4 linked regions of the Drosophila melanogaster genome follow. The protein of the gene in region 2 interacts with the protein of the main gene of each other region in a pairwise test. Each region holds a gene or a part of one and is shown on either strand. Other genes may lie near its edges. The genes, in order: Bace, Cpr73D, Nrt and koi.

What was found.
Region 1: the proteins of Cpr73D (region 2) and Bace interact in a two-hybrid assay, tested with the Drosophila melanogaster proteins (one large-scale study listed by BioGRID).
Region 3: the proteins of Cpr73D (region 2) and Nrt interact in a two-hybrid assay, tested with the Drosophila melanogaster proteins (one large-scale study listed by BioGRID).
Region 4: the proteins of Cpr73D (region 2) and koi interact in a two-hybrid assay, tested with the Drosophila melanogaster proteins (one large-scale study listed by BioGRID).

What each region holds. Positions count from the first base shown.
Region 1 is NT_033779.5:8,494,069-8,498,272, reverse strand, and holds Bace (beta-site APP-cleaving enzyme), read left to right. Parts: upstream 1-1,965; 5' UTR 1,966-2,004; coding exon 2,005-3,123; 3' UTR 3,124-3,380; downstream 3,381-4,204.
Region 2 is NT_037436.4:16,938,195-16,944,786, reverse strand, and holds Cpr73D (cuticular protein 73D), read left to right. Parts: upstream 1-1,837; 5' UTR 1,838-2,063; coding exon 2,064-2,191; intron 2,192-3,048; coding exon 3,049-3,186; intron 3,187-3,969; coding exon 3,970-4,151; intron 4,152-4,203; coding exon 4,204-5,549; 3' UTR 5,550-5,687; downstream 5,688-6,592. Other genes in the region: Obp73a (Odorant-binding protein 73a), read right to left, coding at 1-124, 184-364; CG13022 (uncharacterized protein), read left to right, coding at 5,845-6,441.
Region 3 is NT_037436.4:16,764,014-16,769,153, forward strand, and holds the start of Nrt (neurotactin), read left to right. Parts: upstream 1-2,058; 5' UTR 2,059-2,527; intron 2,528-5,140. UniProt on the Drosophila melanogaster protein: May mediate or modulate cell adhesion between embryonic cells during development.
Region 4 is NT_033778.4:6,809,501-6,817,465, forward strand, and holds the start of koi (klaroid), read left to right. Parts: upstream 1-1,518; 5' UTR 1,519-1,675; intron 1,676-2,287; exon of another isoform or gene 2,288-2,401; 5' UTR 2,402-2,428; coding exon 2,429-2,583; intron 2,584-3,031; exon of another isoform or gene 3,032-3,194; intron 3,195-3,280; coding exon 3,281-3,616; intron 3,617-3,672; coding exon 3,673-4,253; intron 4,254-4,536; coding exon of another isoform or gene 4,537-4,814; exon of another isoform or gene 4,815-5,312; intron 5,313-5,559; coding exon 5,560-7,059; intron 7,060-7,116; coding exon 7,117-7,229; intron 7,230-7,292; coding exon 7,293-7,505; 3' UTR 7,506-7,965. Other genes in the region: CG15237 (uncharacterized protein), read right to left, coding at 1-11, 70-198; ubl (ubiquitin like), read right to left, coding at 592-635, 701-839, 899-937. UniProt on the Drosophila melanogaster protein: Component of the LINC (LInker of Nucleoskeleton and Cytoskeleton) complex involved in the connection between the nuclear lamina and the cytoskeleton. Is required to nuclear migration in eye and to anchor klar in the nuclear membrane.

The sequences.
Region 1 (4,204 bases), on a different chromosome or scaffold from region 2:
GCAATCAGAATTAGTATTCCATTTATGAGCCCTAGCAAATGTTCTTTTCCCCGACAATTCATTTAACTGAAAACATTAACTGAACTATTTTCACTTGTTTAATTTATCTGTCATCGCAGTCGGGTTATATTTAATGTGCTTATAGGCCAAAGTTCGCTGGCTAGTGTTGATTTGAAACATCAATATCTTGCTCGATTAATCGCCTGGCACTTGACTGACTCCGAGGCTCATAAACCACGAGTGGGTGCATCGGAGATCGAGCAAGCTGTGAAAATGCAATCGGCGGAAAGAATTCGATGTGGAGTAGAAGAAGGATGAGTAGTGGGTGCTCCTGCCTGAACGAATCGCCCACCTATTGATTACTCGGAGGCAAATGCTCACTGACCGAACCGGATACTATCCATAATAGCAATTTATTTGTTTTCTGGCTCTGCCTCTGTGCTGTATGAAATATATTTACCAATTGTGAATGTTTGCTGATTATTTTTGGTTAAATATTATTTGCATCTCGGTCTAAGCCTTTAAGCCATGTCCACGCACAGCAAATAAAAATAAATCGAAATTCATACAAGCGCACACAATTCGGTGAGTTGTTCGGTTAGTTGGTCAGCCACCCCGGGCGTATACTTTATTTATGTATTTGCCGACTACAATCAACTCCAGTTCAATCCACTCGCGTTGGGCCATAAATCAAAAAATGATTGATAAACGGTTGAAGGGGACTGGGCATGGGCGCTATTTGAGCAGCCTAATAATTGCACATGAAATGTCAACGCAGGAATGCGAGAAACAAAAAGCAGGCGGCCCACGTCGCTCGGTAATCATACGCCCCGTGTGCCCAGTTACCAGTATGGTTACCGAAATTGCCCGACGGTGCGTAAAATCCGTTGATTACTTTATTTTGGGTCGAAAGTGCGCAACGCACTCGCCCGTGGACACCTCCATTTTGGCCCCTTGTCTGTTCGTGTGTTACTAGCCCTCGGCGATAAGAGCGGATGCTCTGGACCACAATTAACCTGTGGCTGACCACCACACAGAATCACCACCCAGAAATCCTCACATTACTGCTCAACATCCCACCATCCCACATGTGCAAACAGTCCCTGCGCTGGCAATAAAACGCAATCGAAACCATGAATCTCCTTTGTCCTTCTTGGCCAATTGAAGTGGCATTTTATTTGATTTTAAATCTGATTTCAATAGGGTCTTAAGCTTAATGGTAGTAGGAGCCATGGCAAGAAGATGACTGCCGCCGGACCTGCATTTGCTTTTTTATCTGCTAAAACGAAATTTATATTTTTATATGACCGAGCAAATAGCTGGTGAAAGTGCTCGAGTGTAACCACTTGATTGGAAGGGAATTTAAGCCGAGGTGAATGCGTTTCCTCTTGGCTGAAAACGATCAAATTCCCACGTTTCCTTAAATTAACCAATTGAAAACAAATTCATTCTGGTAATGTGAGTTAATGCTCGAGCAATTATATCATCATCCTTAGTTACTAAATGATTTGGCTTTTTGCTAAGCAGGGGTTTTGCCCAATATGCCTGGTGAATTTCCCAAATGCATGGTTTTACCCTAAAACCCTAACACACTTATCGCTATCTCTAATTTATTGGCTTATCTGTGAGCTTAATCATGCAATGATATTAAAACAAATTACCATGAAGAGTCACTTATTATTATCGCGTAATGTAAGCACTATCAAAGTCACTCAAAATGTCCAATCATAACAAAGTCCAGCTGCGTATTGGAATTTAGGATTCACTTCTTGAGAACGCTATCGAAAAGATCGAAATATCACCTCACACCTGAAATGATAATATGCCAGATTATAAATATCGAATGCCGGACGAGCATTAAGAACTCATACTGCTTAAGACTGGAGTGGTCAACAAATCTTATCACCGGACAATTTGGGCTGTGATTGATGGCAAGTGCTATAAATTAGACCCGCTACACCGATCGTCAGTTAGTCGAACTCGAGTAGACTAGAAACCAAGAGAATGTTCAAGACCATCGCTGTAGTAGTGCTCCTGGCAGCCCTGGCCAGTGCCGAGCTCCATCGCGTGCCGATCCTCAAGGAGCAGAACTTTGTGAAGACGCGTCAGAATGTTTTGGCCGAGAAATCCTATCTGCGCACCAAGTACCAGCTGCCCTCGCTTCGCAGCGTGGATGAGGAACAGCTGTCCAACTCGATGAATATGGCTTACTACGGAGCCATCTCCATCGGAACTCCCGCTCAGAGCTTCAAGGTTCTGTTCGACTCAGGCTCCTCGAACCTGTGGGTGCCATCGAACACCTGCAAGAGCGATGCCTGCCTGACCCACAACCAGTACGACTCCAGCGCCAGCTCCACCTACGTGGCCAACGGCGAATCCTTCTCCATCCAGTATGGCACTGGCAGCCTAACTGGCTACCTGTCCACCGATACCGTCGACGTCAATGGCCTGAGCATCCAGAGCCAGACCTTTGCTGAATCCACCAACGAGCCGGGCACCAACTTCAACGATGCCAACTTCGATGGCATTCTCGGTATGGCCTATGAGTCCCTGGCCGTGGATGGTGTGGCTCCTCCGTTCTACAACATGGTGTCCCAGGGTCTGGTCGACAACTCCGTCTTCTCGTTCTATCTGGCCCGCGATGGCACCTCCACTATGGGTGGTGAACTCATCTTCGGTGGCTCCGATGCCTCTCTGTACTCTGGCGCTCTGACCTACGTTCCCATCTCGGAGCAGGGCTACTGGCAGTTCACCATGGCTGGATCCTCCATTGACGGTTACTCGCTGTGTGATGATTGCCAGGCTATTGCCGATACCGGCACCTCCCTGATCGTGGCTCCCTACAATGCTTACATTACCCTCTCCGAGATCCTGAACGTGGGTGAGGATGGCTATCTGGACTGCTCAAGCGTCAGCTCCCTGCCCGATGTCACCTTCAACATCGGTGGCACCAACTTCGTCCTGAAGCCCTCGGCCTACATCATCCAGTCGGACGGCAACTGTATGTCCGCCTTCGAGTACATGGGCACCGACTTCTGGATTCTGGGCGATGTCTTCATTGGCCAGTACTACACCGAGTTCGATTTGGGCAACAACCGCATTGGCTTCGCCCCAGTCGCCTAATTAACGATCCGCAATTACGAATCAATAAAGAAACGAGCTCTTAGAATTTTCTACCAAATGTCTGGGTCACCTCAAGTGGGTCACCTTTCGAAGGCTGAAGGTGTAACAATCTAATCTGTTTACAACTTTGTAAGTGGATAGGTTGTGAGTAAGCGACTCCAATTGCGTTTTACAGTCATGGCTATTTATGCTTATCTGCATTTCATATAATAAATGAATTACACATTGGACTTTCTGTAAATTGTTCGAGAATGTATAAAGTATATATAATTTAAGCTATCGTTTACGTAGAAATACCACTCCATTTATTTATTTATTGACACTTAAGGAGACTGAAGTGGTTATCCAAATGTGTTATCCGGTAGTCCGCAAATTCCCAGCTGGCTGTGGGATAAATGTTGACTCCGGACCCAAAGGAGATGGTGTTATGAAGGCAATGACAGAAGCCATCAGCTCCGGGAGCCAATTCATTTGTCCAGCCTGTTGGCCGGGCAATGATGTGTGTCACCGGGTGTCAAGTGGGGACTCTGGTAGCCCGGGGGAATGCCACAGATGTCAGGTATACTGCCGGGGTGTCAAAGGATAGCCAGTGATGTCAGAGAATTGTGCGGGTCTATAGTTTTGCAACTGCAAACACAACAGTGACAACACCCATTTAGGAGTAGCGGCCGAAGGATGCAGGGGCATCCGTGTGCGATGACAGGAAGTGGAAGTGCAGTTGAGCAATGCAAAAAGTGGAGGTCTTGTGAAACTCGGGACAACTCGTGGACAACAGGTTATATTGGCCCTGCTAGCTAGTTTCCAACCCAAATGAGTGAAGCAGGAAGGGGGGGAGAAAACAGGAAGGGTAGCCCAGATTGGGACTGCTTCGTTGAGCAGTTAATGAATCACTTAATGGAAAAACCTGGACGCCACTCGACTTCCGTTGTGGGTGGAAACTCAACTCACCTCGCCATCGACTTCTAATTGATGTTGACCTTAGAACACTAAACCGCTTGGCTTTTCAAATAGTTTATGAAAGCACTGGAAAAGCGCACGAAGTTTATGGCCTCAAAAATATGTAAAATGACTTTGTATATGT
Region 2 (6,592 bases):
TTGGGGGAATGATCAAGGGAAGGTGCCTCGGGCACAGAAGGCCAAATGAAGTCGATGGAGTCATCGTTCGGATCGATGGGTGGCTGATTTTGTGACACCTGCTCCTTGAGTATCTCATAGGCCTCTAAATGGGGACCAAAACCGTATAGTATTTAATATGGCTTAACTAATTTGAAGGCCCACCATTAACCAACTTGTTGCGGACCTCATCCTGGCACTCCCTTATGACCGACTCGACTTTCCTGGCCGTTCTGGGTGGATTCAAGCACTTGGCCTTTTTCGTCTCGAAGCGAATTAGATATTCCACAGCGTCGATCGATGTGATAACCATGCACGAGATGCATAAAAGTTGTGTAATCCTCATGGTTGCGATTAATTGGAGTCTCCACGCCGATCCGAACGCCTGGGCCGCTGTCAAATGAATGTCCCCCGAAGAAATGGACGCGATGAAATCGAAAGCATTTTCACTTTTCCAAGCCAACTTGGCAGGATGGCCCACACAGGCCACTTATGAATTTCCAGTTTAGCTATACTTTTTTTTTCTCATTTTAGTTTTGCTCTTTGGGTATGTGGTTCAATGGCAAACAGCAATACTCCAAGTGCAACTGCGACTGCCACAACTGGTTGCACATTTCCCATGCGTGCAGTCCGTTAGAAACTTGTCCTTAAAGCTCGACCACATGCCTATGAACATGGTCATTGGCAGCGGCCATATATCATTGCTATACCATATCTCCATGGCTCTCCGATCGCGATCGCATTGGGTTTCGTTCCATTGTCTCTGCGGTTGTGCGATTACAAAGCGCTTATGCTCGGAAAGCACTCGCTCCGATTGAGCGCACAATTAACCAATTGGTGAACTCTTCCGCCTTCTGACCAATTTGCATATGGCCAAAAAACAACGGCTATAAAGATTATCAAAGGCGGTAGTCTATGTGGATGTAAATATGGGCTAGCCAGAACTATAAACTATAACCAGAATCAAAGGCAACCAAGCGGGGCGGTCTAATCAGAGGGCCTGACATATCCCCAGCACATCCCCATCTAGAACCCAGAACAATGGCCAATAACTGTACTTGGAAGTGGCCAGTAGCGTCGCCACGCTAATTATGGCTCATTATAATGGCCAAGATTCAAGAGCCAAGATCCTAGGCGGAAATTGTCATAAAGTTCTGTGGTCTCCTCCAGCCGACGGGTAATTGCCTTTAATTGCATACCTGGCCAAAAATTGCTGCTAAGACACTGACCTAGACTCGCTCTGGATCGAACTTGTAATAAGCTCCGGCTAACGGAAAACTCAAAATGGAAAATTGATTCCCCAGCGATGAAGTTCAATGTTCAGAGTTTTGCGATTTGTAAGCTAAAGAGAGCGGGGCGGGGGGATGGTGCATTGTCAACAGGAAGAGAGCTCCAGGTTGCAACTTCGGGGAACAAGAACAACGTGAGCTAATTGACAGACAGCTACACAGGCACGATTTTCCATTTTCCGCTGGCCATTTCCCGCGGGTTTTAAGCCCCTTCCCCCACCCTCCTAAAGTGGCGAACAAGGAGCCATAAAATAGGAGAAACACAGCAGCAGCTGCAACAACACTTGCGTGTCCATCATTAGAACGAATTCTCTCACCTGAGCCCCGCGCCCACTTTCCGCCTTTTCTTGTAACGCAATTTGCACACAAATGCTGCTGTTTCATCTTCGTGGCTTTGGCTCTTTTTGGTGGGTGGTCAGGTGAGACAAGCAGCACCACTAGCTCCACTAGCACCACCATATGACGCCGCACGAACCGCTCGCTGAGCCGCCTGAGAATCGTATTTAAATACGAAGGTCTAACGCTGGATCGCATCAGTCGTCGCCGTCGCGTTGTTCTAGCCGCTAGCTCCTCTCGAAGATCGCAAACCAAGTCGGAGTTTAAGACGGGTTCCAAGATCGGATTGGCAGACGATCGAATCGAATCGGATTTGTTGGGGGAATATAAGTTTATGTGGTGACTGTGCACCTGGAACAGGATGCCCGTTTGATACTTGTTTCATCTCTCGATTGGATTAAAACGAATGCGATTTGAATGATGTGGCATCTGCATCGGCACGCGAATTCCCTTTTGCTTCTCTGCGCAGTTTTAGGATACTTTTCGGATCCTGCGAGAGCCGAAATCGAGTACAATACCATCAGCGAGGATGGATCTTTTCAGTTTCGGTACATAGATGTGTGACAAACTATAGTGAACATTTTTAAAGGATATTAAGCACTGAAAAAAAAATTGGCATTATGGATTAAATGGATATGCATTTAATTGCAAATGCAACACCCTGTGACTCAAGAAATTTGATGAATAGTTTTTGTTACAATTGCAAAATTTTGAATTTAGTAAAATTTTCAATTTACCTAAAAATGCTTTAAAAGGCAGGATATTTTGACAGAAATTAGTAATTTCCTTCGTAATACGATTATCATAATACCTACATCGACTAAGATTTTTAATAGGATTTTAAAACTTCACAATAAAATTAATTCAGATAACATTGAAATTAATATTTTTCAATTTTCAACTCATTGCATTAGTCATCACAATAAAAAAACTTAACCAAATAACATAATTTACATTAAATAGAATAGAACTTTCATTGTCGTCCAATTTCCTTTTAAAAAAAGGATTAAAAGTAGTTAGTCGCTGAAAATAAGAAATAACCTTCCCCAATTGCGTACAAACTTAGCTGTTTGGTAGAATAATAAACCTTTTGAAAAGAGAACAACTCAATTACAGTTTTTTAGCAGCCATGGGTCATAAATCTAACAAATCATCTAATCGGTCAATGATGTCTGCTACCTTACCATCACCATTACACCCGAGAAAATTTGAGATTTTTAGCACCTCTTTAACGCCTCAACGTTTTGCAACCACAACAATAACACGCTTCCGACCATCTTTCCCTCTCCATTTCGCACGCATGGGGCAACGCAATTACTTCTGTTTCGATGGATCCCACCTGGCATGGATAATGGATATGCTGCTGCTGGTACTGCTACTGCTACTGCTTCCAATCGGCCAAAAGACATGCAAATGATGACATTGGCGGCTACTATCACAGCGCCTCGGGCACTCCGGACAACACGGTGCGAGGTCGCTACGGTTCGCGGAGTCCGGCGAGCGGGCAGATCGAGGAGACGGTCTACACAGCCGGACCACGTGGGTGAGTAATCGAAGACGGTAGCCAAGACTAGTGGGTAAAGTGCGCTGGTGCACTGCAAGAAAATAGTATCATTTTAGAGTGCATATGTGTGGAGAAAAATGCATTTAAAATTGATGATGTCAAAATATGCGTAAAAGAAAAACATAATTTTTAAAATATATGTATTTCAAATGTTTTTAAAAATAATTAGGCAACGATAAGTTCTGTGGGTATACATGACTCGAAGGTAACTTCCTTGAGGAAGGTCGGCGGTTTTTTCCTGAGTGTATTGGCCGCTGAGGAAGTGGCAGCACAAAGTGAGTTATCTCCCCTCGATGTCAGAGTTGAGCTCATATATCAGCGGTTGGCGGCAGGCGGCGGCCACTGAAGCGAAACCCAAACAAACGGAGGGGGATCCATGGAGTTGGAGCCGTTCTAACACATTGGACTGCTTTTTCTGGCGTTGCCTAAACGTTTTTCCATTACCGCTTCGGCGCTACTGTTGTTTTTTGCAATCTCCGGTAAATCGGGGGAAACAAAAAGCTGTTAACAAATTGACTGGCCTGAGAGATTCGAGCCAAAAAAAAAAGAGGAATGGATTGTAGATGGCAGATGCTCAACGATAGCGATGATTCTGAATGGGATCGTTCCCCGAGATGTGTAGTAATCGAAGTAATGGCGTGCCGGGCTAAGATCGAATCTATATTCAAAATTGCAGTGCAAGTCCGCTTCCGCTGAAAGGGTTTACCCAATCCCCACTCATTGTGTCGGTAGCTAATTAATCTCCCTCTATTTCCCACATAGATTTCGCGTGAACGGACCGAAAATCCATCGGAAAATGGACCTGGCTCAGTATCCGGTACTGCCGCGGGGAAGTCCGGACGATCCGCTGGCCGATCCCTTCGACGATCCATCCTACAGCTTTAGTTTTCGCACTCCGGATCAGTCGCGCAGCGAGGAGAATGATTCCGGGAATAGGATAAGAGGCGAGTTTAGCGAGTATGGTACTTAAGAGTATATTAACTGATTCTATCCCAGGTCTGTACTCCTATTTGGACGACGTGGGCGAGCGGCACAGTGTTCGTTATGCAGCTGGAGCCGGAACCGGATTCGAGATCTCCAACGCTGTGCCGGACAGCCCATCTGTTGTGGCGTACTCCAGTCCTCTGTACACGTCCCATCCCAAAGCACGCGGCAAGATGTCTGTGCAAAGGGGGCCGGCTGGAAGCTATAAGCTGATCGCCTCAGGTTCGGATCACCGACGGGCAGAAAGTCGAGCACCCGATGGCCTGGTGCGAGGAACCTACTCCTTCCTGGACGACAAGGGCGTGCAGCGGACAGTGGAGTATATAGCTGGAGCAGGAATTGGCTACCGGGTGGTGCAAAATCGGATTGGTCCTGGAACCCATAACAATCCCTCTGTGGCTGATTTTCGTTTGACAGATCCAGATTTCCGACTGGCTAATGATTTTGGCAGGGGTGCTGGTGGTGGCTTAGGTCCGAAGGGAGGTGGTGGTGGATCAGGTGGGGGAAGTGTTTCGGTAGGAGCTTCGGGGCCAAGTGGTGGTGCAGGTGGAGCGGGAAGGGGCCGTACTCCAAGCAGACCCGGAGGCAAAGATTACCTAAAGCCGGCTGATGGAGCAAGAGATAGGAATCGTGGAGATGGTGATGCTGGGGCAGCTGATGAAAATCTGGGACACCATGCTGATGACCAAGGGGATGACATTGGGCTTGGCAGCAGCTCCTCTGGTTCCACCAACTTTAATGGCAAAGAAGACAGAAGAGGGTTCCCTGCGGGTAGTCCGCAACGGGGCAGTACTAGATACGATGCCGGAGGTGACAGCTCTCAGAGAGGTGGTTCAGGTAGCTCCACGAGAAACAATGTTAGTGGGTCCCGAAACAGAAACCGATTCGGCGGCGTTGGTGGAGTAAGTGTCTCCTCTGAGCGGGGAGCAGGAAGGGGAGGTGCTGCCGGTGGTGGAAGCAGTCGTCGAGGAGGTGGAGCTGGAGCCTCCAGGGAAGGCGACTCCGGCCTGGGCTACCTGCCGCCCACAGGTGGATCGGGCACCAGTGCCATGAGCGGACCCGGGGACAATTACCACCTCAACGATGACGATGTGGGCAGTTCACTGCCTCCTCTGGTCACCGCCAACCACCGAATTCTAGAGATCGACAGGGATCGGGAGTGGGTGCAGCGACACCGCGACTCCACCGTCATCAAGAACGTGGGTAAATGGTACGTGGGCCTGCCGCCTGGTCAAAGTGTGCGTGCCCATGTCCAGAACATCGACATAATACCCTTGGGCGGAAGGATCGGACTTTCGCCGTCGGAGGCACTGCGTCAGGATGAGATCGCCGAGCTGAATGCCTCAAGGGAGCACTAAGCACCCATTGGATCTGTAGATCTGTAGTTTGTAGTGCGTAGCTCTAAGTGATCAGTGTTGAGTAACCGAAACTGGGTTGACTCCACATGGAAACTAAAACAGTATTTAAAGCGGAATACATTTTTTGCCTGTATCTGTATCTCAAACTGTATCTGTATCTCTAGCGAATAGTTATTTGATATCCGTGGATCCGGGTATAAGCAGGTTAATCTGCACATTGCGGTTTCCTTGAATCCACATATAACCCCATGACTTAGCATGCTCGGAGTTTAGTTGTTTCTGAGACTTGAACATGATGTTGGTGCTTTTCATTGCTTCGCTGATAGTTTCCTGTGCTCAAGGAGCGCAAGTGTATATGCAGTTCAATGGACAAGGATACTCCTACAACACGGATGGCGATAGATTGGATAGGAGTGTCGTTAAGCCTAGTTTTGGGGCATCTTCTCTGGATTCCTTTGGTCCGCTGAACTTTGTGCATCAATCTCTGAGGACAAGACAGAATCCACTTTCCCGGATTTCCTACAATACACAGGATAACCTAGCAGTGGCAACATCTTCGCTGAGTGCGGGCTACCAATTAGCATCGACCAACCACCTGAAGCACCGGCAAAGCCAGCAAAACTTTGATTTCAGCACCGACCAGATGTCGCATGCCCAGCACACCGATGAGGCGGGAAATGTTTTGGGCAAGTACTCCTACTACGATGAGGCTGGCTACCATGAGCTGAGCTACAAGGCGGGCGCCGGCATCGGATTCGTGGTCATGGGTGGCAATTTGGCCAAGGCCACCACCGCCGCTGAACCGCACTCGGAAATCGAAATCGGAAACGGAATCCAAACAAATGCCTTGACTAGCCTGCAAGAGTTGCATAAATATCGTGGCTACACGTAAATAAAATATATTAGCCAAAACTATTGCTCGTTCTACTTGGGTGTTTTGCGTTATTTACTGGAAGTCTTTGGAGATCTGACAGTGTCACCTGTCGTGTTTGAGACCTACGTGATCGGGGATCTGAACTGTAAACATATGTCAAAGAATGAAT
Region 3 (5,140 bases), 170 kb from region 2:
AACATTAAGCGGCTTTTCGAGGTTTTGCTTGGCATATTGAAACCGAATCATTGCTTGATTGAATTACATATCGTGGGGTTAGTGGTGCAGAGAACAGAACTCCCTCGAATTTCTTGAAGTCTTCGTTTTCGGTTTCCACACGTTTCCGGTTCAAATTTAAATTAAACTTGTTAATTATTCCATCCGAAGAACAACCCACACAAGACAGGAACATGTGTTCACTACTCCACTTCCTTTCCTTGGGCGTCCCACATTTTGCGGGTTTCCTCGTTACCATTTGCGATCATGATAATGATCCGATGCGATCATTTTGATCCTTCCCCTTCGACGTGACGGGCATGCGTCAAACTCAAATACGTATGTAACTCGAGCCAACCTTCACTTTTATTTTCTAGTTTCCTACCATATTTATTCCTTTTTTTCGGTAGCAGATGTCGCCTAACATCATGTCTAATGAAATGCTTCAGTAGCTCCACAATGAAATAGGGAACCCTCATAGTTCGGGGCGTGAAAGTTGTTGACATGTGGGTAGGAATTCCGTGGGGTAATACCTTTGGAAGAACAGGGGAATCGACTTCTAATACATTTCTAGCACGTGTCGTCATGGCTTCTGTTCTAATAATTCAACCGACACAAGTTCAATATAAATATTAAACTATGTACATACATAGGTATACAATGAAAATATTGAAATATTGAAAAATATTTACCAAACACTTTAGTTAAATGGGTAGCCTAATTGTCTGAAGACATATCTCCTACATTAGTTGATTACTCATAAATCATAAGCGTAACATTTTTATAAAATAGAGCACATACTATATAGTAATTGAAAGTATAATACTGGGGGAGTGCCCTTTATTAAATAAACTGCAACAACGTATGTTTTTCTCATAACTGTGGATGAATCATTCTGTTGATTTGCGTATCGCTCAAAATAAATGCATTAAAATCTTCTTTATAGTTTTCATTGCGCAAAAGTTGATTGAAAGAATCATTATATTTTGTCTTTCTTACCAAATAAGTGAATTTTCTCAGGGGTAGGGATATGAAACCCTATGCGAAAAGGGGTGTTGGGTTGGAGGTAGCCAAGGGTAAGGGTTTGTGCTGTAATGACGCATCAGGACGTGGAATTTCCCTACATATGCCAGATGTTCCCATCGGCATAAACTGCGCTTCAACACTTGCCGCCAGTTGATAAGCATTTGAAAACGAGTTTCAAAAACCGAAATCAAAACCTTTACTCAAACAAAAGTGCCATATCAACAAACTTCTTTCCCTTCCCCTTGCCAGCTTCCCTCTCTTTTTAAGAAAAATTAATAACAAAGAAATATAGGGAGATCGGCATCTACTTCTATTTGAAGCATGTACAACTCAGAAATTTTTAATAACTTTAAGTTTTATATTTATAAAGAGCTGTAGACTACGTAATACCTCTACTTTGGGTTTTGGGTGTTGACTTGAACAATTTATAACAATTTTACCCTATGTTCTCCTACATGTTCTATAAAGTATCTGATCTGATCATAATATCTGAGGTGTCTTGTTTCACTAACAATAAACGCTTTACCAAAACTACAATACCTTTTTCATAAAATCACCATCGAACATTTTGCACTTACTGTACAGGAAAACAAAGCCGCTACTTTTACTGCTGCTTTCCAGCCACCCCTATGATTTATAAATTTACAATGCCGGCTGCTTCCAGTTCCAGTGCACAGTGGTCCAGTTCGAACTAAATCATAAACATGAATTATGATCATGTCTAATAAGTTTAATTAAATTACTTATAAAATATTACAACAATTCGTTGTGTAGGTGTTTTCAATGCTAATCACTGTTGCTTGACATAATTTGTATACTATTATAAACTTACAAGTTATATCTTAAATTATGTTTTTTCTTTTTTTCAAGAGAGAAACATGTTCTCGCCGAAAACACGTTCCACTTCCAGTTCCCCGAATAAAAACAAATCCAAGAAAATTAACATTAACAGTTGCTGTTAAGACTCTGTTAACCGTTTCGAAGCCGCATGAATTGCATGACATCGAAACGGCGTCAGTCAGTTTTGTTCTGTTTTGGAAGCCGCACGCGTTTTCCCTCGCTCCGGTTGTGCTCGCTTTCGCATCGCACACACACACACACTCTCGCCGCACAGACGCGACCAAAAGAAAACAAAATCAAATTCGGCGCAAACAAGGAATAACTTTTTATATTCCTATTGTGCATCGTATGTTGTATTAAGTGCAAGAAATATATTTACACAAATCTAACAAAAACACCGCAACTACTTTTGTGCATTTTGTTTTGCTCTGTGCCGAAGGAGCGGAGAAAAGAAAAAACCGCAACAAATCAAAAAATCTGTGCGTTTGTTATACACACCTAAGTGTCCTGCAGGAAGGACATCGGGTTCATTTACGCCACCCGCTGTTTTCAAGGACCAACGGATTATTCCCAATTGCCACATTTCAACAAGTTCGAAAAAAGCAACACACATTTTACACAGTGTTTGCGAGAATTGAAAAAGGTAAGATTACAAATTCGTGTGAAGGACCTCGGGGATTTGTAGAAGAGGAAGAGCAGTTGAAAACAAATCGATGAATTGTAAATGAAGTCAAATTTGTCTGCCAACTTTAATAATTTAACAAGTGAATATGGACACTTCAAACTTGAAAGATTAAAATGTGATTATAATTGAATAAAACAATTTACATGCATATTTATTTAGTTTTATACAAATGTAAAGATTTTGGCCAAAAAGTTTATTGAAAAACGCTAATGCCGTAGCAATTGAAATCTGAGTTATTTGTGAAAAGTAGAAGATAAAAGATATAAGAGCTTAATTTGAAAACTTTTAAAATATGTCGGTATCCGATCTTGACGGCTCTAAATTAATTTATAATCCTCCACAATCCATAATTACCGAGGAAACATCTTACCAAAACAATTTAAATGGCGTCTCGAAAAACATTTCATTCCGAGCTCTTAATAAGATTAATGGGGCTTCACGATTCATTGATATAATCCCTCCGTAACGAAGCACACCCACCCCATCGTCATCATCATCTTACGCGTCTTGAGGTCTAATGGCTCGTGTCAATGATCAGACGGACTCTTTCCCTCAATAATTCCCATTTTCCATCCTTTCTAATGGCTTGTGTCGCGGCTCCGTATGAAAAACATAACCATTTGACATAAATCACGGCCCTGACAAATCCTTTTGAACATTTCATAAACATAATGTGTGTTAATCCTCAGATATTTCAATCCATCAACATCCAGAGTTTGGTGGATGGAGTTGCCCCAAAAATAGCGCGACCCCTTTGGTATCATTTGTATGCACAGTCAGACGCCGGCTTGAATAAATCCCCAAATAGTCATTCCGTAAACAAATGCAAAGGAAATTGTTGAAGGGATACGGATACCGGGAAAAAGGGCAATAATTCAATGATGAATTAATAGGCGCATGGAAATGATCACGAATTCCCGGGATCTTCAGAGAAAGTTCGAGTTGGCAGCTGCTGCTCTTCGATTCGCTCCAGAAAAAGAAAAAAAGACTTCCGGGGAATCGAGCAACTAAAAAGTGAGAAAAGCATCAACAAAGCCAAACAGAGGCACAACAAATGGGGTAGGAAAACGTGAAGATGCCACGCTGACGCAACATTTGCATTCGGAAAGAGATTTATGGAGGCAACTCCCCCGCCCATTGACTTTTCGCTCCAACTTCCCTCATTGTTTTGCCAAGTTTTCAAAAGACAAGAGCCGACATGATGATGTTGATGTGTGTGCCTCAGTATCTCATTTTCCCAATTTACCCCAAAATGTGTGTAATCAAAAGTTTTCGTCTTTACAATTCAATTTTAAATTGTTGTTCCTATGTAAGTGTTGCCTGCTTTCCACTCGAAAAGTAAACAACAATTAAGGAAAAACACAACAAGGCAAATGCAACAAGAATACAAAGCACGATTTTCAACACTTTTTCTCGCTCTCAATGATAAACAAAACTCGGCTATTTACATCTGGAGTTCATGGTCAAACAGTTTAAACAAAAATGGAGTTTTCATTTAGGAAATTGTAAATCCATCAGCAATAAGAACTTGAGAGTCAAGTGCTGCGATACGATCCCAAAACTCGAATCCCCTCAAGAGCTGCTGACAATTGACTAATGAGGGTTACAAGAAACCCCAGCGCAAATCATAAATATTTGTTGTTGACAATTCCAATGGCCCTGCAAGGAGCCTGGCTTCAAGGAATTCTCAGGGTTCTTATCGCGGAGGAAATCTTCGCTTATCTGCCTGAAAAAGGCAACGTGGTGCTAGAAAATATTGTGCAATAAAATGGAATGATATAGTGGAAGGACAGCCATGAGTTGTGAGGAAGGCAGTGTATGCAGACTTAACAGATACCCAGTACTTCCATTTAAGAAACAACTAATTGCATACATAATATTGGTTAAATGCACCAGGAACTTCGTGGTTCAATGCACTCAGTTAATGTTATAACATTCTCCAACAAATATTCTTGAATATAAGATATAAGATGTGTCTACCTCATCAAATCCAAGAGTACGCGGTATGCACAAACATTGAACCAACCAACGCAACTCAGGGCTATCCTATCCCATATCTTCAAGAGTTGTTTGCCCCTCGAGAGTAATTACAAATTCATAAAAATGGCCTGTTTGAAGTGGAAATCTCGTTCCGATTTTGTTTGCTCTTCCCACTCCAAACTCCATTTATTCCATTTTTGTTGTGCCAATCCCCTTGTCCTGGAACTAGGCGCCTTCCGCTGATCCTTTGAGGTTTGTGGGACTCTGTGCCCCTTTACCAGTTTCCGCTCTCTACCTGCCCCAGGAGATTGTTATCCATCAAAATAAAATGAGGGGAGACGACTGTGAATTCGCATCGCACGTGTATAAACCTTTGAGTCTTGCGGTTTCTGGTTTCTGCCCCTTTTGTACTGGAAATAAATTCAGTCTTATATTTCTTATGAATTATTATAGTATGTCCTCAAGTAGTTCTTAACAAACAAGTTTGTATATTTTTAAAGGTTTTCAACATTTGTTGCAACTTGCGATCTATCTTACCTATGTTTCTTCTTTATTTTTTCTAAGTGTTTCTCATGCTCCAGTGAACTTCAC
Region 4 (7,965 bases), on a different chromosome or scaffold from region 2:
AGGGACTCTCGCTGTACGGTTTAAGTTTATAACAATTTATACAGAAAGCGGTGTCTGGAGAGAACTCACCCAGTTGCTCCTTTCATCCTCATAACGCCGCGTCTGCGATTCTTCGTTTACGGAGGCAGGAGCCATGTCCAACCAGTAGCGATTGGCCACGGAGACTTTGAGCGTGGGAAAGAATGGAATCATTGACATTTTCGACGGAATCTTGAATGCGCTGTTTTCAATATTTGTTGTTCTTTCTCTGGAAGCCTTTGATGCGATCTGGCAACGCCGCAACATACGCTGTAAATAATACCAATTTTACAGGGGCGTAGTCGTAGGGGCGCATTAAACGCAAATTACAATATTAATTGTAATTGTAATTCATCAATCTAACTATGTATTTTGTTATTGTCAAGGGAAGTCCGATAACCAAGGGCTTAATACAGCTTACTCAAAAATATATATCTTCACTATTACAAATTGACCTTAAGAATCAGAACATAACCAAAACGAATAATATATATTATTCAAAATCTTTTTATTTATTAAAGAAGCTATAAAAATTGGACAAACTAGACACAGGAACGGTATTCCCTTGCAGTTTTATTGGTAGTAAAGTTCCAGATTCATGCCATCGTGAATTTCATCTAAGAAAGCGAAAAAGAAATGCGGGTAAAGCAAGGCGTTACAAGGACACTAAACAAGGGCTTACAGTCAGATAGGCGAATCGGGTCCTTGAAGATTGTGTACCACTTCTTCAGGACAATCTTCTCGTGCTTTGTGCCCGTTTGTGCCGCGATTAGTTTCTTGAGGTCCCCAATCGTGTCGTCCGGGTTGCACTTGACGCGCACCTGTGGGTTAATCGTTGGTTAACGATGCTTGCAGTTGCCTTGGGTACTTAGCTGCTTACCTTCTTGCCAAGACGATCGTTACACGTTATTTCTATCATATTTTATGGCTTTGCTAGACAAATCACAACAATAAATTCTTGATTTGTTGTGGTATTATTGCTTAGGGTTGTCAAATACCCTTTACCGAATACCGAGTGGTTTGAGGGATCGCTAATTGTCCGCAATGCTATCGATATTTTATTTAATTTTAAATATGTTTAAATAACAATCATATAGAAAGTCGAAGTTAAAGATATCAGAAGTCTGAAAGTATACTTAGAAAGCTCAATTGCTTGTCATGACGCAAATCTATCACATCCTTGTAAAACGATAATATTTGTTAACAAATTTATATTTAAATTTCAGTCTTCTTCTTAGTTATCAAGCCAGAAGTCGAATGTTTCGGCGTTAATAGAAAAATAATGTATGTTTGCATATTTGCACACCTCATTCAAATTATTTTTCTTTGTTGAACAAAAGATAAAAGTGTAAAAATTAAATTTTTTATTCTTGACCCATTATTTCTCTTGGTTAATGAAAACAAATTCCGTTTCTCAACGTTCCCTTTAATAATCCATGTGAACAATCGATAGGCGGCGAAACATCGATGATTGCTAGAATAATCGATGTGTCTTCCCCGTTCATTCGAATTTTTTCGCCGCTCGGAATAGACGTGATTTTGCCGTCGTGACGGTGGAGGCTATTTTTAAAACGGTCGCGGCGCTTGCAAACAAAATTCATATCCAGCTATTCAACGGAGGAATTCATTAGTACGGCAGTACAAGAAATATTACTAAGTATGTCACATATTTGCGGGCAAACTGCCGAAAGCACTGTGCGGAGTTTTTGTTTGTGTGCGTGCGTGCCTCATTTTTACATTCACGTACATACATATGTACATATATGTACGCTATGACGCAGCTGTGGAAAACTTGTTTGGGTTTCCATTTCACCGAATCACGGAATCAACGAATATTTGCGCCTGTGCTGCGAACTCATTTTGGGCAGTAAGCCATTGTATTGATTATCGCGCGTTGTTTGTGGATGGCGTGGTCCGCCGGAGCACCCTGTAGCGTCTACATCCCTACCCCGCTCCCTGGAGTCCGATATCTGTGCGCGAAAGGCCGGGCGGGCGTCGTTTTCGGCTATGTGGCCCAACACCAATGGATCCCCACGGTCACTGGCAGCAATTCGCGATCCGAAATGCTCCGCCCTATTTTTAGACGCGGTCTTTGCGGCCTGCCTACTTACCTACCTCCCCAATGCATTCTAATTAAAAACCGGGCACTGCGCTCATTTCCACACGCATTGCATTGCATAATGCGGCATTAATGTGGCGGGGAAAGCTCGCTTCGGAAAGCACTCGAGCATTGAAGTGAAGAGACCGAATGTTTTCCAGCTGCCCAATTGTAAACAACCCACGCCTAGCACGCACACACACGCACACGCACACACACACAGACTGGTTTTAATGTTTACTCCAAATAAATCGTTGCCCATGTTAATTATTTGTGTCTTCGCAGGGCCCGAGCACTGGAGGGAATCTAATCATGAGCGAAAATACATACCAGATAGAAACGCGTCGGCGGTCGCGTTCCAAGACCCCCTTCCTGAGATCGAGCTGCGACCATGAGAACTGTGAGCACGCCGGAGAGGAGGGGCATGTGCACCACCTCAAAAGGAAATCGGCGGCCCCCAATGTGCAGTAAGTATCTGGGATACTCCCGAAATAGGCCTACGGACGAAGCCCTTTATCGCGAACCCATAACATTATTTTTAGCCCTTATAAGTAGTAAAATTGTAAGCATACAATATGTTTACGGAGTTCGAGTCAATTTCATTTTGAGAATTAGGAGAATTCAGTTTAAACTCTATAATTATTTCCTATTTGGTCCTGAGTCACCTTTTTCTATACTGACCATTGGTTTCAGTAAGCAAGTTGGACTGTAGTAAGACACATCCATAGCGACTGTATGTTTGTATGCCGTGTGCTGCCGCCATGACGTCACCTTTTTGTTATTCACGCTCGCCGCGAATTTGAATTTCGAAGCGGGTAGAAAACGAAGGCAAAGCCGCATACAGGGTGCAGCATCTGGTCGAGCTTCGTTAGTTTTTGGCGCCTATTTCGAGAGCGCCTGGTCGGTCTGATGATCAGTCTTCAAGACTCGATGACGACATTCGGAGTCCAACGTCGGCCGTCAGAAATCGTTTTCACGTTTTAGCCTCTAAATCGAGCATGCTGGGGTGGGCTAACAGTCGTTTGCGCTGAAGGCCAGCGGCGGTTATAAGCATATTTTTGTGTTTTTGTTTTGATACGTTGTACTCGTCGTTTCAAACGATTCCGAGCACGTTATCACGGACTTACTGAAATATTTTTCCCAAATCTTACCTCTTCTCTGCAGAACGATAATAGAGGAGCATATAGTGGAGTCGAGTATCAGTAAGAAAACCCGGGCAAAAGCGTTCGCCCAGCTGACCTCGGACTATTCGAGCGACGACATGACTCCGGATGCCAAACGCAAACAGAACTCGATCACGGCCACAGTCACGTCGATTCTCACCAAGCGATCCGGCGGCGCCACATCGACACCGCGGAACAGAAGCCAGCTGGAGACCACACAAAACACGCTGAATTCCGCCCAGGAAAAGCTAAACCAATCGAACGGTAACCTCAGCTCGGGAAATGTCAGCGATTATCTGGCCTACATCGAGTACAGGGATGCTGGTGAATACTGGAAGTGAGTGAATCATTTCTACACATTTTAAACAGTATACTAATGATGCTATTTTGCAGCAAAACTCCCAAGACGGACTATACCTACTCAGAACTGTCCCCTCACCGACGCCAGTTGGCGCCAGGAATTGTGGCCATGCCCAATATGTCCAGAAAGAGCCTAGAGAACCATAACGATCGAGTCAACTACATGGTCCAGCAGAACCCTGCGCAAGAGGAGTTCATCCGCCGCCGCTACCAGTCCAAGTATACCCAGCAGGTTAACTATGACTCCGCAGATGAACTGGACGCCACATTTGGGCAGCAAAAGCAGAGCTGGTGGCTTATCCGCCTCATCCAACTGGTTGTTAGCAGCATTACCACCGTGTGGAGTCGGGTGACCAATCTCTCGGCCACGGAGACGACTGCCTATCAAAACTACCACGCTAAGCGCCAGCAGAGTCAACAAGTTGGACTTTGGTGGAAAATAGTACAGACCATCGGAGGAGGACTTGCAAGTTTGCTGCGCTACCTGTATGTTTTCATCGGATCGGTGCTGAGTTTGGACACGTGGTTGCTGCGATCCTCGGATGCGGAAAACAAGTCGAAAAAGCGCTTCCTCATATTTCTGCTGATTTTGTTGCCCTTGCTGCTGCTGTCGGGTGAGTAGGATTTAAAGCACCGTCCGATTTTTGATGTAAAGTAAAATATGTTAGAGCGTGTGCCGTGACCTTGTACCGGTTCGAGAATTCATACTACATGCATATAGATCACCTCCAGTCGTTGTATTTATAAACTCGTCTGGTCGTTGGCAGTCGCGTGACGCCATCGATAATTTGTTAGTAAAATCCCGCGGATCAGATTTAAGTGGCCATGTGATGACATATTTTATTTTCCATTCACCGTCTGCCAAGGTTAAACGCCTAATTTGCTTTGCCTTTGCAGGTCTGTTCTATTACATACACCCCAATGAAACTTTCCCACCCAAATCCCTGTCCGAATACACATTCACCCTACCTGAGTTGCCCAAAATCGATGTGAAAGACTACCTGAACCAGGAGCAGTTCGAATCGCTACGCTCTCAGGCCGCCGAGCATGCGGTCCGCGTTCGCGATTGGGCCGACGACTACGTTTTGTACTTGAGAACCATCGGTCAGAACGTGGTCAACAAGGGTCGTCAGTTATTTCAGGGCGATGATAAAGTCTATTATGAGCGTGTGTAGGGAACATCTGCAATGGGCAGGCTACAGCTACCAGATTTAGTGATCTGGTTGGGTGCAACGCCCCTTGCACTTAGACAAATATGAGAAACTTTCTTTATGAACAATATGAGTACAAAATAAAGCATTTGATCCGTTTTTTGTCCGTCTGCTTGACCCGCAGTTTTGCGCACTTACTTTATAGTTTTTCGTCCCGTCATTTACCCACTTCATAGGCAAACCCACCTCTCATACCCCACCATACTAACCGACACAATTCCCAACAAAATGCAACATCACAGGCTGATGGGAGAAGGATAGAGCTCGCCGCTGTTCAAATTGTAAAACTTTCGTAATCGTTAACTTCATTCTTGTCCAACAATTAGGGCCGTTATCCGTCTGGGTTAGTGCCCTAACTAAATCTTACTTGTTGTTAAACAACGTTTAATTGTAATTTGTGCACTGTTTGCTTTGTAATAGTCTATACAAAAATAAATCGCAAACAATTTCATATGAAACATCAAGTACAAAGAAGAGTTGTTTGTTTTATTTGCCATTTGTTGGAAGTTCGCTAAATGGTAAGTAAGATGTAAACAAAGCAATATTAGTTGGCCAGAATCGAACTCTATCCTTCTGCATTTGTGTTGGAATAACCCCAAAAACGAGTTCCCTGTTACCTCAGTCCGGTTGATAATTGAAGTTGGTAGGGACTGTAAATGTAGAAGGATTGCCAACTAATAGTGCTATGTTTAATTTTCTCCTTCCCCAGGATGGTTGCTCTTGCAGGAGGATCAACGTAGTGCTTACGTTCAGCGTGCGGAAGCACTGTTGCCGCTGCCACTATCTATTTTCGGCTCCCTACGTAGTCGATTTTCAAATGCTGGAGCCACCTTGAAAAGTTGGATGGAAGTGCCCACCGTCAGGAGTCCCCAGCGGGAAGCCGAGGCCATTAAGGTAAACATGGCCAGCATTGAACAGAACATCCAGAAAGCCTTGACTGCCGAGGAATACGAAAATATCTTAAACCATGTAAACAGCTACGTGCAGCAGTTGGTCGAGCTGAAAATGCAGCAGCATTCCAAGGAGCTCGCACCGCAACAGATTGAACTCTTTGTTAAGCTGATGAAGGAAAACCTCAAGCAGATTATGTACAAAACGGAGCTAAGCGAAAAGGATTTGTCTGATCTGGCCATAAAACTGAAACTGGAGCTGCAAAGCTCAGGCGGTTGGCAAGATGGAGCGAAACTATCACAAGCTAACTTAGAGGAGATAACCAAGCTAATTAAAGCAGAGGTTCACCTCCACGAATCGCACTACACCATTCAATTGGACAGGATAGACTTTGCATCCCTGCTGGAGCGTATTCTTGCTGCGCCAGCATTGGCAGACTTTGTAGATGCTCGAATAAGTCTTCGGGTGGGAGAGCTCGAGCCAAAGGAGAGTTCCGGTTCCTCAGATGCAGAAGTCCAAATTGAGCGTCTGAACAGGGAAATCGCCTTCATTAAGTTGGCTCTCTCTGACAAGCAAGCGGAGAACGCCGATCTGCACCAATCAATCAGCAATCTGAAGCTCGGCCAAGAGGATTTGCTGGAACGCATACAGCAGCACGAACTTTCCCAGGATAGGCGCTTCCACGGGTTGCTGGCTGAAATAGAAAACAAACTGTCTGCGCTTAACGACTCGCAGTTTGCTCTTCTCAACAAGCAGATCAAGCTATCCCTTGTCGAAATTCTGGGCTTTAAGCAATCCACCGCTGGCGGTTCCGCTGGCCAATTGGATGACTTCGATCTGCAGACCTGGGTACGCAGCATGTTTGTGGCCAAGGACTACCTGGAGCAGCAGCTGCTAGAGCTGAACAAGCGCACCAATAACAACATTCGCGACGAGATTGAGCGTTCGAGCATCCTGCTGATGAGCGACATTAGCCAACGACTCAAACGGGAGATTCTTCTGGTTGTGGAGGCCAAGCATAACGAGAGCACCAAAGCGTTGAAGGGCCATATCCGCGAAGAGGAGGTGCGCCAGATAGTCAAGACGGTGCTAGCTATTTACGATGCCGACAAGACGGGCCTGGTGGACTTCGCCCTGGAGTCGGCGGGCGGCCAAATCCTTTCCACGCGTTGCACTGAGAGCTACCAGACAAAGTCAGCCCAGATATCGGTGTTTGGAATTCCACTCTGGTATCCCACCAACACGCCGCGGGTCGCCATTTCACCCAATGTGCAGCCAGGGGAATGCTGGGCATTCCAAGGGTTTCCCGGATTTCTAGGCAAGTCGCGGGTAAATAGTAATTGCTAAAACAGTCCTTATAGTTTTCTTCCCACAGTGCTAAAGCTCAACTCGTTGGTGTACGTCACTGGATTCACCCTAGAGCACATACCGAAGAGTCTATCCCCCACAGGAAGAATAGAATCAGCTCCTCGCAACTTCACTGTCTGGGTAAGTTTGACTAAGGGTGAAAGGAAGTGGTGCATTTCTAATACGACTTATCCATCAACTCAGGGCTTGGAGCAGGAGAAGGACCAGGAACCCGTATTGTTCGGCGATTACCAGTTTGAGGACAATGGTGCTTCCCTCCAGTACTTTGCCGTTCAAAACCTGGACATCAAACGGCCGTACGAGATCGTCGAACTGCGGATCGAGACGAACCATGGCCATCCCACCTATACATGCCTCTACCGGTTTCGCGTGCACGGCAAGCCGCCGGCCACATAAATCTGTTCAAATCTCTTCTAGTGACCTAAGTACTGCCAGGTGTACATAATGTCTGTGCCTTAAAAAGGAAACTAAACAATATATCACTGCGAGATGTGGATCAACGGAGCCCAGCCGCTTTCAACAATGCGAACTATGTAAAAAGTAAGGCTATATAGATTGTAAGTGTTTTGTATCATATCGTAGATTTGAAGTGTTTAAATCACATTAAGGTTAACTTGTACATAGCATATTATTTAAGTCAGGACTAGAGTCCCTATAAGTACTATAATATTTATTAGTATTTAGTTATTTCCCTGAAATCAATCATCGTTCCTTTAAGTCTACTCTACTTACGTATGCAAGTTTCCAACCCGTAAACGTAGCACTATACCCCAGTTTATAAACAAATTTCAAATTCCAATCTCGGCGTCAAAAAAATGATCTTGTCCTGAATCAGACTGATCTTCTAACTTTATCC